Lonchura striata: one gene and its partner. The protein of the gene in region 2 interacts with the protein of the main gene of each other region in a pairwise test. Links are inferred from orthologs where the notes say so. Each region holds a gene or a part of one and is shown on either strand. Other genes may lie near its edges.

The links.
Region 1: the proteins of IFT25 (region 2) and IFT27 interact in binary tests that used the Homo sapiens proteins (3 or more experiments, as listed by UniProt). The two-hybrid records come from large-scale screens. The link is inferred for Lonchura striata from reciprocal best matches to the Homo sapiens genes IFT25 and IFT27.

Annotation. Positions count from the first base shown.
Region 1 is NC_134607.1:22,988,183-22,995,300, forward strand, and holds the start of IFT27 (intraflagellar transport protein 27 homolog), read right to left. Parts: upstream 3,011-7,118; 5' UTR 2,931-3,010; coding exon 2,897-2,930; intron 1-2,896. UniProt on the Homo sapiens protein: Small GTPase-like component of the intraflagellar transport (IFT) complex B that promotes the exit of the BBSome complex from cilia via its interaction with ARL6. Not involved in entry of the BBSome complex into cilium. Prevents aggregation of GTP-free ARL6.
Region 2 is NC_134611.1:8,997,836-9,004,706, reverse strand, and holds IFT25 (intraflagellar transport protein 25 homolog), read right to left. Parts: upstream 2,844-6,871; 5' UTR 2,787-2,843; coding exon 2,689-2,786; intron 2,295-2,688; coding exon 2,188-2,294; intron 1,860-2,187; coding exon 1,791-1,859; intron 1,253-1,790; coding exon 1,209-1,252; intron 751-1,208; coding exon 643-750; 3' UTR 526-642; downstream 1-525. Other genes in the region: LRRC42 (leucine-rich repeat-containing protein 42), read left to right, coding at 4,114-4,586, 6,611-6,742. UniProt on the Homo sapiens protein: Component of the IFT complex B required for sonic hedgehog/SHH signaling.

The sequences.
Region 1 (7,118 bases), on a different chromosome or scaffold from region 2:
AGGAAAAGCAAGGGGATTTGGTTTTTGCTCTTCTAGAGCCAAGGTTTTCTGAAATGGCTTGCACAACACTTCAGGCAAACCTGACAGCTCCCTGCTTTGGCCTGCTCTTACAAAACTCTGTGAGATCCAAAGCAATCACAGGATCACAGAACAGAATATGCTGAGTTAGAGGGGACCTACAAGGATCACTGGGTCCAACTCATGGCCCTGCACAGGACCATTCCCAAGAATATTGCCCAAACGCTTCTTGAACTCTGTCGGGCTTGGTGCTGTGACCACTTCCCTGGGGAGCTATTACAGAGCCCAGTCATCCTCTGGGTGAAGAACCTTTTTCTAACATCCAACCTAAACCTCCTCTGACACAACTTCAGGCCATTTCCTCAGGCTCTGCAGAACTTACATATGCCCATATTACTACATGAAAAAGATCATAAATCATAACCTTTTCTAAACAAAGACTTAATGCTTCCGAAGACCTTATAATTTCTCCACATAATGTCTCACTAGCTTGGATAGTTAAAAGGACAGGAACCAGTAATTAAATACCTCAGTGGTTCAAGCTTTACCCTCAAAGGTATACTCATAACAGCCAAGCCTGGAATACAAGTCTTTCACATTATGTTGTTAATAAATAAAGCCAGAAAGGAAGTATTTTACATTAAGTTGTTAATGGGTGTATTTTTGACTCCATTACAGCTTCTTAATGGTGTTTTGAAGGAAATTGGTAAAGCTCTCTGCTCACATACTATTACAGAGAAGGAAGGGTGTTTTGGATAGTGACAATTACCCCTAGATGCATTAACCAAAGTAGTTTTTATTTAAACATTTTTAGCATGCTTGCTTACTTTGAGCTGAGTTGGGCTCATAATATTTAGACAGGAAAATCTGGTAAGTCAGCTTGCTTGTTCTCTGATCAGTTCAAGCCTGTGCGGAAGACAACACTCTGTTCTGAGTGGAAGCTATTCTGTATTTCAATAGACAATTAGATCTGTCTTTGTAAAATGACATAGAGAGGCACACATTGCTCCAAACTGTGCAGGCATCAGCCAGCACAAATTCTTAATTAATGTGTTGCCTTTCTTTCACTTGACAGCCCCAGGTGTTCTTTCCCTCTTTTTATTCTTTGTCATCCTCTTTAGCCCATCACACCAGTACACTTCCTCAGAGTAAGTTTCCTTGCCCTTTTCAGTTTAGTCTCTTGTGCCAGTAGTGCATCTCACAGTATATATTCTATCCATATTTCTGTTATTCTGCCAGAATCTCTAGAATCCTTCAAAAATGCCTGCTACTGCCAGCTGTCTCTCTACAATGAAAACCTTTGTGTAGTGTCTCCATAGTAAGCTTAGACAACAATTCTTTTTATTTTATGCCTGTAAATGACCCTTGAGATAACACAGGAATTATCTTCTATTGTCAATTCAATAATCTCTGTTTTGCTAATAAGAGCTCTTTTCCCGTTCTTTTTGACCTTGGTGTAGCTCCCAGTTTTGTGTCACTGGCTCTTCATAACCATTTCCTTAGGTCTACAAGAGCTCCCGGTTTCATTTCTGATAGGTTTGCTCCTATTTATGTAATTGCATTTTTTTTGTTTCCTCATATCTTAGGTCACTTTCACTATAGTGGATTTTTTCTGCAACAGAGAATCTATTTTTCCTGGTCTGCTTTACTAATTTATTTTTTTAATAATACATGGATATTATTGTAGCACACAGAAGAATAACATATGGGATAGGACATTCCTGTTCTTTGTGCTGTGAATAAAATTGAAAAGGCTGCTCCAGACCCAATAAGGATTAAGGACATAAACAGGTCATCCAAAGAAAACTTATGTGATTTTAAAATGGTCATGGAATTGGCCTTTGCCAAACTGGACAGTATACTGGGAGCAGGACACTTCCAAATTGGAAATGATGCCTATGTTTCAAGCATAGAAGACGGGCAAGATATTCATGCTGTTCACAGCAGTAGAGCCACAAGGGAGATCAATTCTCTTGCCTTTGCCAAAGACCACATATGTCTTTGTGTGAGCTGATGGCCAGCTGCTTCTGAGGTTAAAAAAGGCAAACATTTTATTCTGGATGAAATAATTTTGAACACATAGTTAAACCTGGGAGTTGACTGCACACAAAGGTTTTATGGATTTGTGCTTTTGGCTGAGGCTGCACAGAGCTTCAATGTAGAGGGAGGGGGAAAAATAAAAACCTTTTTCACAAAGTGTTAACAGCCAGCTGTACTCACTTTCCTCACCTCCATAATCCATCCTGACTAAATAAAGTGGTGTCTTCACCTCATTTTTCTTCTCAGGTTAGCCTCTAAATTATTTGGAGAAAAAGATGCCACTGTGAAGTGCTCAATCTTCTCCTCTTTGTTTAGGCTTTACCTTTCTATCGTACTCTCAGAATCATCCTAATTTCTGCCATGAAGTTTTCACATCAGCCCAAAGCAAGACTCACATATGAGGCAGGATTCAGCTGCCTACCTTGCTCCCTTCTCGCCTTCTCCAATCTCTGCGCCCACCTTTCCACCATGCAGAAATACTCCTTTTGGTTTCTATTTGGGTTTTTTTCCCTCTTTTTCAGATCCTATCCTTGGATTTTAGCCGATCCAACTACACCTCACACCCTCCCTGGGCACTGCTCGACTCCACGTGGTGGGCGGGGGCGGGTACCGAGTGGTAATATCGGACACGACTTCACTGCTCCCGTCCCCAGGCAGCCGAGGTCTTCCCTTCTCTCCCATGGCCTCTTTCCCCACCTCTTCTCTGGCGGGGCGGCCCCTCGACGAGCGGCTGTGGGAAGCCGGGCCGCCTCCGCTGCCGGCCTCGCCCGACCCCACGGCGCCCGCTCTAGTCCCGTGTGGGCAGCGGGGCGGATGGGAGCGGGCGGGCCGGACTCACCTGCCAGCAGGCACTTGGCAGCGAGCTTCACCATCGCGCCGGGCCGGGGCAGGCGGCGGCAGCCACGGCGGGCGGCAGCGGGGGCCGCCACCACGCCGAGCCGAGCCCGTGGCAACCGCGCGGCCCTGGCAACCGAGCGACCGCCCGCCCGTCCCCATTGGCTGCGGGCCCTGCTCATCAAGGCCATCCACAGTTATTATTTGTTCTCTTGTTTCTCCCCGCCCACTACGCGTGCTGTCAATCAAATCAAACACGCCGCCCCTCCCGGTGGCGCCGCGGCGGCACGGGAGACGCGAAGGGGAGTTCTGCCTGGCAACTAACGATGTCATCGAGAGCCGGCTTGTTATTGGGCAGAACATAGAGGGCCTGCGCCACGGGGCTGAAAGGACCCTCTGGGCGCACGGCAGAAAATGACACAAGTTACGGGCAAGGAGCTGCGGCAGCCCCAAGGCGGGCAAGCGGGGCGAGAAGCCTCCACTTCCTGCCCGCGAGCCCGCGGAACGCGACGTTCCGTGCGGAAGCGCCGCGGCTCCGCGCGCCTTGCTGCGCATGCGCGCGGCGGGCGCGCGGCCTGGCCCGGCCTGCGCGTCCCTCGCGCCGGCGCCGCCATTTGGGTCCCGCTGCCCTCAGGGCCCGGCGGCTGCGGGAGCTGCTGCGGGCGCGGAGTTGTGCTGCGGCGGCTTCAAAGTCGGCCACAAAGCCGGGTCAGCACGGCGGGAACAGGCGCTTTGCGAGGCCTTCTCATCCTGAGGGAGTGGAGCTGCGCTTCTTCCCTGCCCGGGCCAGCAGCTGATCCGCTCGCATTTGCTCCAGTGCACACTTTTCCTTGTGTTTGGCCGTGTTAATGTACTCAAGGAGAAAGTTCTCTTGCTTGCTGATTTCTTAGCTACTTTCTCTTTTTTCCCCCCCTCTTTGTTAATATTTGCAGCCTTTCCTTCTGCAGTGGTTAATTGCTTTATTTGTTTTTTCATATTTTAAAAATATTTCTGCTAAACTCTCCCTTGGCTACTATTAAACTATTTATATGCCCTATTTTATTCTTTGAACTGATTTTCTGTCTTCCTTAAGCAGTCCAAGTGAGTGGGTTTTGAGTGGGGGCTGAAAAAGGGGACCACGAAGCTTCCTGGGTTTTCCCCTCCTTACAACCTCTTTGAAATATCTGTGCCACCAGAAAGCATACCATTAATAGCAATCCATACATTTTTTAGGGTGTAAACTTTGCTTGGCTGCACTTTGGATTGTTTATTCTGGAACAGAGTATGTGCTTACTGTGGAAAGCAGTGCATAAGCTTGGGAAGAACAGAACAATCAATACTGCATATGTATTTGGGTTATAACATTGGACATTCCAAGGGTCGAAAATAAAGTTTTCAAGGTTTTATTTTAATGTCAACATTTTATTTTAATGTGATTGCTTAGAAGGCAGCTCTTTTACTTTTCCTGGGATAAATTGCCTGTGACATGTCTAACCAGGCAAGCAAATAGCATAAAATCAATGAGAACTTATAGCTGAATCAAAGGAGCTTCCTATATACCCATAAAATAACATTGGGTAGAACATTTATGTTCATGTGATAAAAACATGAGGAGGACTTCACTAGCCTGGGTGGGCAGACTTCAATGGTAGATGATGACTTGTAGTAAAATATAGTGATGGAGTCACTAGTCTTCATTTAAAAGGGAAAAGAAAAATCAGTACCAGGTCTCATTATTACGTTCTCTGTTTTCCATCCCCAAATCTTCTATCACATAAAACAGATGTGGGCTATTGATCTTCTCCATCACTTATGTCTAAATAGCTTACCTCCTCTTTCATCTTTTCTGCCTTCCCCTCCATCCTCCAAGAAATTCACTTGTCTCTGTGTCGTTCCATTTTTGCAAACTTTGCATTATCCTTTGTTGTCTATTTCTAATATTGCCCCAGTTTACTGACAGGTCTCCAAGCAAAGGCTTTGAGGCTCCATTATGATGTACTTGAGGTTTTTTTATTGTGGCTGCAGTGTGGTGGTATCCATCAGCATTTACTGAGGTCACAAACATCCTCGCCATTTTACACTGGGATCGCTGCAATGGAAGGCATAGATTATGTAGGAAGTGAGACTTTCATTGCTACTGAAAAGTTTTGCTTGGAATCTGGATATCTCCTCCCTGCTTGCTGCTTTCATATTAACACCCTGTTCCTTTATCCCATTCCCTCATTTCCTACTGCTGCATGCATGTGTGCACAGAACTCTTAATGGATTTGTATCCTCTCTATTTCTTTTCCTTTTACCCCACAATATATTTTTTTTTACCCAATCTATCTTTTCCTCTGCCTGACTTCTGTTCCCCTACCAGCACTGACAGTGATAGATTAAGGATGGAATTACTTATCTACACCTTGTAATCCAAACAGAATCGCAGTCTGCTGTTAGCAGTCCACAGGGGTTGCTGCTGAATAAATTGGAATGCTGGTAGCTGTGCTCGCTGAAGCTTCTCTCGTCTTGAGTACGTGAGAAAAAGGGGAAGAGGAACCCTGTGGATTTAAACAAGAGAAAAACCCCAACAACAGAGGGTGATGCCCTTACCCTAGAGAAGTGTTTATTAGGTTAAATCCTGTATTTAGCAGCTAAGGAGGAATAGAGCACTCTTCATTCACACATTTAATTTTTCCCTCAAATGAAACAAAATTATTTTGAATGAGAAGTGCCCCTTCTCTCATGTGAGCAGGAAAAGTTTCCTTGACAGCCACAACACCATGAAATTTGAAGTCACATTCCCTTAGGTAGTGGTCACAAACCAGCAGTCAAACTGCACATGCAGTCTGTGTGTCGTGTGTGGCTTGCATTTCATCCAGCTGCTGAAGGCAGGGATGGTGGAACTGCATCTCCAGCAGGAGTGGCAAGGAACTTCAGACACTAGGTAAGGCTCTACAATGGGGATTAAACTGAGGTCATGTAGTCTTTTAGACTGAGATATAGTTGGTGTTCCAGATTCTGTCAGGCGCTGCATAGGTCACTTCATTATCTTCTTCACAGAACATGCCTGTTAGAAAGTGATTTTTTTCTGAGGCCGAATTCAGTAATATTACTAGGACTTGTTTTCACAGTTGTTCATCCACCAATGCAAACATTCAGAACTGAGCAGGTTACAATCTGTAACTTGAACGTGCTGCCTGTTAAAAGCTATGAGGAAGAACTGTAGATTTCTTTGGAGTAAGCAGTGCTTCTCAGGAGGGCATTAATGTTGAGGAAAGCGAATTAGTAGGTCTTTCTGTAAGAAATCTCTTAAATACAAAGTACTTTTAAAAATCTTATGTTACTAAAAGGAAACAGTGTGACAAAATGGCTTCAGAAGTATCTTGTGAATGAATATTCCGAGTTCATGCTGCTTTTTAAATCCTCATAGATTCTTATAGGATTGACTATGAATGTTTACTGGTATGTCTGGAGAGCTGTGAAAACTGCAAGAAAGGATGTGTAAATTTTATTGTAGATTTCCATTCTTTACACTTCCCCCAAGTGGTGGAATAAATAGATACTCCATCTATTTTGAGGGCTACTTCATTTGGCATCCCCCAAACCCAGCTTTTATTTCTCTTCAGAGTGGGGCTATTAGCACAGAAGTGAGAATTTGGATGCTTTCTCTAGCTCTGTTGATAACACCATTATAGTTCAGGTCTTCAGATTTTGCTCTTTTGTGGTGGGGGCTGAGGCACAGATCTGAAGGCTTTTTGGCTGACAGTCAGTGCACTGAAATGTAAGATGATTACAAAATGGTTGAATCAGCCAAAGGATTTGTTGGCAGTTACAACAGCCCTTCTGACTGATCTGGCAAATCTGCCGTTTGTTTCTGATCTACTCTGTTGGGACAGTGGAAGTTAGAAATGGATGGCAGTTGTGGCATCTATGGAAAGTGATAAATTACTAAATGTAGGGTAGGTACCTCTACAACTTGGTTTGAGTATGCTAATTGTAACTGTTATGTCCTCTCTTCTGATGAATATGAAAGGAAGGAAAGATTTCTCAAGGATGCATTCAAATCCACAAGGATGAAGATAAAGAGAATTTCTGGAGAGTAATTATTCTGCAAATGTCTGGAAAAATTCCAGCTCGAATCTTTATTTTCTTGTTCATGCACATGGAAGCTTGAAAATACGCCAGGAAGAAACCCTGAAATCTTTATTTAATTTTTAATAATACCCTCCAACCCAGTAGCTAGCAGGCTGTTGATCAGGGAGCCA
Region 2 (6,871 bases):
TAGAGAATATTTATAGAAACAAGGGACTGATGTATAATTATTAAAAGCCTATAAAAACACTTCATTTGGATTCTGATTATTTCCATTCCTTCCCTGCCTCTCTCCCCCAGGTTATTTCTAAGCATTAGCAGACATTTATATTCATTCTAACAATCTCTGAGTTTGAGCTGATCAGAGAGTTAGCAACTTAAGGACTTCTGAAGAACTTGTTTGACAGTGGAAGTAATACATCCCACTTAAGTAGCTCAAACTTTTTTTCCTATTTAACTCAGAGTGCAAGGGAAATATTTTACAGGAAATTAAGTTTTAGTTAATGTATTATGTAAACCTGATACAAATACACTACCTTAAATGGACTCAGTTACGCTCAGGTGTTCCAGGCTGACAGTTTAGGTTACAAAATGAAAAAGCTGTTACTACAATTAACAACTGCACTGTGTTGTGGTTGGACTTGATGATCTTATTATCTGTATTCTTCTATCCTATTCCATACATTAAACCAGCAAGGAATATATACCACATCCATACCTTCCAAAACCACTTTAATACAAGGTTCTAATAATAAACATTCTCTGCAGTGCAGGTATTGAAATTTAACTTCCTTATAAAAAAATAAAGTGGGGGCCCAAACTTAAGCTGGGCTCAAGTGTTCTCTGCTGTGCCCTCTGCCATCACCCGGTGCACTGACACAAAGTGATCAAAGCCAGATTTGATGATGAAGCGCAAGTAAGTGGCTTGGAACTCAGGAAGCTGCAGAAGGAATAAAATGTCATTGCATCCTCTGTAGTAACAAAACCACCAAAGCACATTTGCAAAAGTTTGTTAAACACGAGGATCTGGGTACTTCAGGGTTCCTTCTTGAACTGCACATAAATCAAGTTCTTTGACCTGCAACTCAAAAAAATCCCATCACCTCCTGAATTCTGTAGCCTTAAAGGCAGCAACTGAAGGAGAGGAAATTGCCACATTTCTGGAAAGGGCCCTTGCACCTCATTAGGAGCACTAGGCAGGTACAATTTCATAGCATAATCTACAGAGGAGCAGCTGGGAAGTGCAATTTCACACCACAATCTACAAACTCCTCCCTTTAACACCAACTGAGCAATAATTGTAAATAGAGACACATTTGGTTTCTTTATGGTTTCTCCCCACTCAATCCAGACATGCCATTTCATGAACCACTACTGATGTACACTGCAAATACTCACTGTAAATTCTTCCATTTGTAGCTGTCCTTCTCTGTGCTGCAAATCTACAAAATATATTTTAAGGTAAACAATGAAGAACAATGTGCAATGCAGTGAAGTTTTCACTGGACTCAGAGTTCAAGTGAGTTCAAGGACAATGAATTTACGCTACATATAGACATTGTTCTTTTTTATTTTTACAGGTGATTTAAGAGAATACATTTTTGCAGTATCCCAGTCTGTGTATGTATATATACATCCCACTCATTACAGTGTTATAACAAAGTCACCCAAGAGGCACTAAAAAAAGCCAATCCCCAAGCCAAACAATCCAGGAAATGGCACTCTATTATACTATGTAAGCCTGTTTTTAATTTTTGGAACATAAAGTGCACAAGTAGCACTTTTAGCCCTTATACAGCAGTTTACTCTCTGAACTGCTGCAGAGACCAGCAGTTAAAAAATTCACTTAAATGTGACTGTTACATTAATGTCTAATAAAATAATCATCACCCCACACTTTACTCAACAAATAGATGAGGGGTTACAGTGATTCACTGAAAAAAACATTGCCCCCCAAAAAGCCCACAAACTCAGTCTTACCTTTTTCAACACATTGTTCAAAACCCACAGGGTCCTTAGATGTGCTTCTTTCAATCCTTAAGGTCCGCACTAAAATATATATCAATTCAAAATATCAACACAAGTTCTGATTCTTTATTGACACTGATATCTATTCCATCACTTTACAACCACAAAACACTTTCAGAGCATTAACTAATTTTTTTTTTCTCTACGCTATGGGGATTGTGGATACAAAGGACAATTGCTTTATGAAAATGAATCTTTATGCAAAATTAAATCTTTATGTAAATTAAATGTTTACAAATCTCTTAAAAGTGGCTACATACCGACTATGACACTACTGTGGGAACTTTTAAGGCACAGACACGCATTTTAATATAGCACATATTTCCTATGGCAAGACACAAAGTCTTACCCAAATAACACTGGATGGCGACTTTGCTGATTTTTACACATTTGGGAAATCCAATAATCAGTTCCTGTGGGAACATGCCCGTAGTCGTCCAAAATGTTTTGGAACTTCTGTAGAGAGAACAGAACAAAATCCTCAACTGAAGCTTTCCATCTATAACCATCTTGAATGAAATATACCACAGAAAAACATGGAGTGGAAAGGAAGGGGAAAAGCGGAGGGGAAGAAGGGTGGAAAAGGGTGGAAAAACAGGGGGAGAGCGAGGAAGGGAAGGAGAGGGACGAAAAGGAATAGGGGAAAGAGGGGGGAAAGGAAGGGGGATGCATTTTTATTTGGGGTGCTTTCAGCAGGGCCCTGTACAAGGACGGGGCCGCTCTCTGGGGCGGCCCCGCACAGGATTGCGACGGCGGCGGGCGCCGAGCTCTCCCACCGTGCGGCGGCTCCAGCGGGAGGGCGAGGGCCGCGCCCGGCGGGCTCCGCTCCCGCCGCCCCCGCCGCCCTCACCCGTCCGCCACGCTCTCGGCGGGGTGCTCGGCATCGCTGGACGTGGCCAGGACCAGCGCGGCCCCCGCCGAGCTCCGGCACCAGTCGGCGGCTCCCATCGCCCGCCGCGGCGCTGCCGCTCCCGGGCAACCGCGGCGGCTCCTCCCCTGCGGCCGCGGCCGCCGCGGGGAGCCGGGCCCGCCGCTGGCCGGGCGGGGCCCCGCTGCCCCGGGCCCCGCTGCGCCCCGCCCGCCGCCCGCGCGGCCCCGCCCGCCGCCCGCGGGCGCCGCGGGGCGGGAGCGCCGAGCCCCGGCCTGGCTGACGGCGCGGCCCCTCCCGGGGCAGGTAGGTGGCGGCCGGGGGGATCGGGGAACCAGCGGGATTCTGGCCTCCCTGCCCGGGCGGAGAGGGGCGGGGTGGGGACCCTTCCCCCGGCGCCCTTCCCCCGGTGCCCCTTCCCCCTGTGCCCTTCCCCCTGTGCCCGTTCCCCCGGTGCTCTTCCCCCGGTGCCCCTTCCCCCTGTGCCCTTCCCCCGGTGCTCTTCCCCCGGTGCCCCATCCCCCGGTGCCCCTTCCCCCTGTGCCCCTTCCCCCGGTGCCCGTTCCCCCGGTGCCCTTCCCCCCGTGCCCCTTCCCCCTGTGCCCCTTCCCCCGGTGCCCGTTCCCCCGGTGCCCTTCCCCCGGTGCCCTTCCCCTGTGCCCGTTCCCCCGGTGCCCGTTCCCCCGGTGCCCTTCCCCCGGTGCCCCTCGGGGCAGTGCCCGCTCACGGCGCGCTCAGCCCCGGGCACAGCCCGATCCCTTCGCAGACCCTTCCCAGCTCCTCTCCGGGTTGGACCCCATCCCTTCGCACCCGGCTCCCCATCCGTCCCGGTACCCCCGGCCCCCCTGGGGCAGGGCCCGCTCGCCAGCCCCGCCGGCCGGGAGGCGAGAGGATCCTGTCCCTGCCCTGCCCCTCGCCAGGGCAGGTCTGAGCTCTCCTGCCCCCCCCAGACCCGCTCGCCAGCCAGAGCCCCCCGGCACCGGGGAAGGGGCGCCGGGAGATGCCCACCCTCCCCGGGAGGGAGGTTCCAGCAGGCTCCATTGCCCAGCTGCAGTCAGACATGTGCCCTCCTCTTCCTCCTTCTCCTGCCTGCAGGAGAACCAGGCCTGGTTGTGCGGGCACTTCCCACTCAACCCCTCTCCCGCTGCCCCTGTCTCCATCCCGGGCCTGGGATCTATCCCGGGGGTCTCAGCCAGCCCGGGGTCCAGCTCCCACTCGGATGGGGTGGGTGGTTTGGTGGCAGGCAGCTCACGCCCCTGCTCCACACAGCCTGCCCTCCTTGCTACGTGGCCATGCTCAGGGCTCTAAGGGGAGCTGCCAGCTTTGGGGGCTTCCCTAGGTCATGTTTTTGACTGTGGCTGTTCTTCACTTGTCTGTGATTTGTTTTTACAGAGCTGGTCGAGGGGAATGTCGTACTGTCTCCACTCAGAAAGCCATTTGGATACTGGGCCAATATACGTGCGTGAAAATGGGAAGCTGCATGTGGTAAATCGGGGTGCAGGCAGCGTACAGAATGTCACTCCCAAAGCAAGACCTTTCAGTCTGTTTTCCAGAACTTTTTCAGTGGAGCTTTGCATGAACAGGGAGGATGATAGGGCAAGGAGGCAGAGGACTGATCATTTCATCTTCACCTACACCAAGGAGGGGAACCTCCGCTACTCGGCCAAGTCCCTCTTCAGCCTAGTGCTGGGTTACATTTCTGACAATGTAGATCACATTGACTCGTTGATTGGTTTCCCAGAGCAGATTGCTGAAAAGCTCTTTTCAGCAGCAGAAGCAAGACAAAAGTTCACAGAGCCAGTGACAGGACTGAGAGCTCTGCAGAAATTCACTGAAGCCTATGGCAGTTTGGTGCTGTGCTCACTGTGCTTGCGGAACAGGTAAGTGTGTCCCCTAACAAATCTTGTCTTCTGCTAGCACACTTCAAACTTCCCCTAAATTAAATTAAATAAAAATACATTTTAGCCTTACAACACCACGTAACATTAATTAAATGCCCTGAGCACTATCTGATTCTTGTGCTTTTATCCCATCCCTTTCCTACAAGTGAAGCTGTAGGTTTCATTTTAAGATACAAATCATAACAGAGGTAACAGACTGCCTCTGCTTTAACCAACAGGGGATCTTATATGGAAGATTAAACCTGCAACTATTTTTAACAATAATAATAACTTCTGTGGAAATCCGTGTGCTGAGTGCCTTCTCAGGTATTTCATGGGATGTCTCTTTAATTGCTGTTTAAAAGCTTTTCAACACACTTAGCTGACTGTACAGATAAAATACACCCCTGCAAATTGTTCAGGTTTACTAACTATAAGCTTTCTGATATGTCTCATTTTGAGGGCTCAGAAGAAGATACAGACTTGTTGGTAAGTTGCAGGCTTTAAAATCAAGCAGATTTTACCTTGTTACCACCCCATATTGGCTGTACTTTAACGAGGTCCTGATTACAGTTCGGCACTAGTTTTTCCATCTTCTCAGTGCCCACATCTTTAACTGAAAGAGTCTTGCCAAGTTTAAAACTGGATTATGTTTTTAAAGCCTTGCTCCTACTGAAGTCTTTCCCAGTAATAGAACCCTTCTCTTCCATCTCTACACTTGAAAAAGGGATGGTTTATCCAGTTTAAAATCAAAGTACTGGCATATTCATCTGAAGTACCAAGGGTGTTCTGAGCACAGTGGGAATGTTTGAGTAGAAGTCAATTATCCTTTGTTTTATCCTTTAAACCTTCTCCCTTTTTATCTCTAGCACAGATAATTTTATGGGCTTAATTTAGAAATTAAGCTACTTCTGGCATCTTTTGCCATTACAGAAAGCTGAGTTAAGCATCAAGTCTTTGAAATCCAGGAAGTAAGGCATTAAGGCATTTTCTGATGAATTTTATTTCTAAGAGCCCACTCTCCAGAACCCCCCTGAGCTAATAATCTCTCTCGAGAACTGGCTTATGCTCTGTTTATTGTGCTTTTTGCAGAGCCAAATTGCACAGGCAAGGGGTTTGAGTGGGGTGGTTTGAGGGGTACAATTACACTGGGATGATATTAAGGTCCTCTTGTTTGCATGGACAAAGAGGTGTTCTTGGAGGGATCAGGTTAATAATCACCCCCAGTATATGCAGTGAAGATGCTGACCTCAGGGTGTGTCTTGCCATGGGGAATACAAGGTAAATTCAGGAGGTATCAGTGAATTTGGAGCTTGTCTTGCCACAGGGACAGCAAGAGGTGACTGCAGGGGAGGTACTGAGGGCTACGTGCTCATTACTGCATACTCATGCCTGCCATTCTTCAGTGGTTTGTTCCCATCTCTGAACCTCCTACTGAATAGCTCCAGCACAGATGTTTGCGTGGCTGCTGAGTGAATCACACCAGGGAACCAGCACAGCTGAAAAAAAACCCAGAGTAACTGCTGCCTCAGCTCTGGCCAGTCCTGGACTTCTACCTCTACTCAAGCATTTTATTGACATATATAAAAACTAAAATTTTGCTACTGAAAGGCTATCCTGTCCTGTTTAAAATCCATGTTTGAGGTGGATTTTAAACCTGGATGAATGTGGGTTTGTCTGTACCTTTCCTAGGAAGAGCAGTTTGTGAAACTGACTATAAACTGAGACATTTTGCATTATTCTGAAATAATACAGCAATAATCTGTAAAGAAGCTCCTAACAGCAATATTTACAAGTTGAATCAAATCTAAACCATGACAGTGATTTAAGGAGAAGACTGGGAATTCAGACTTGTGTGCCAGCTGCACATAAAGAGGTACTTAGTGCAGCTGGGTAATTTCTGTCAATTTTCGCATAGGTACTTGGCAGAAACGAGTGCATTGTGCTTATGGCACTTGGGGATGTGGACTTACATGCCTGAGCACTGAGGGCTTTTTTTTTTTTTTTTTTTTTTGGCTTTGCAGGTACCTGGTTATCTCTGAAAAGCTTGAAGAAATTAAGTCTTTCCGGGAGCTGACGTGTTTGGATCTCTCCTACTGTAAACTTGGAGATGAACATGAGCTGCTGGAACACCTCACCAAAGAGGCCCTGTCTAGGTACCAATTTCTTGAGCTAAAAATGACTCTTTCCTACCACTAAGCAGTTCAAAGAATCAGGCTGAGACTTTAAAGGGAAGTTTCACAGACTACGGAGTGTAAGGTTGAAGATTTTGGTTGTTCATAAAA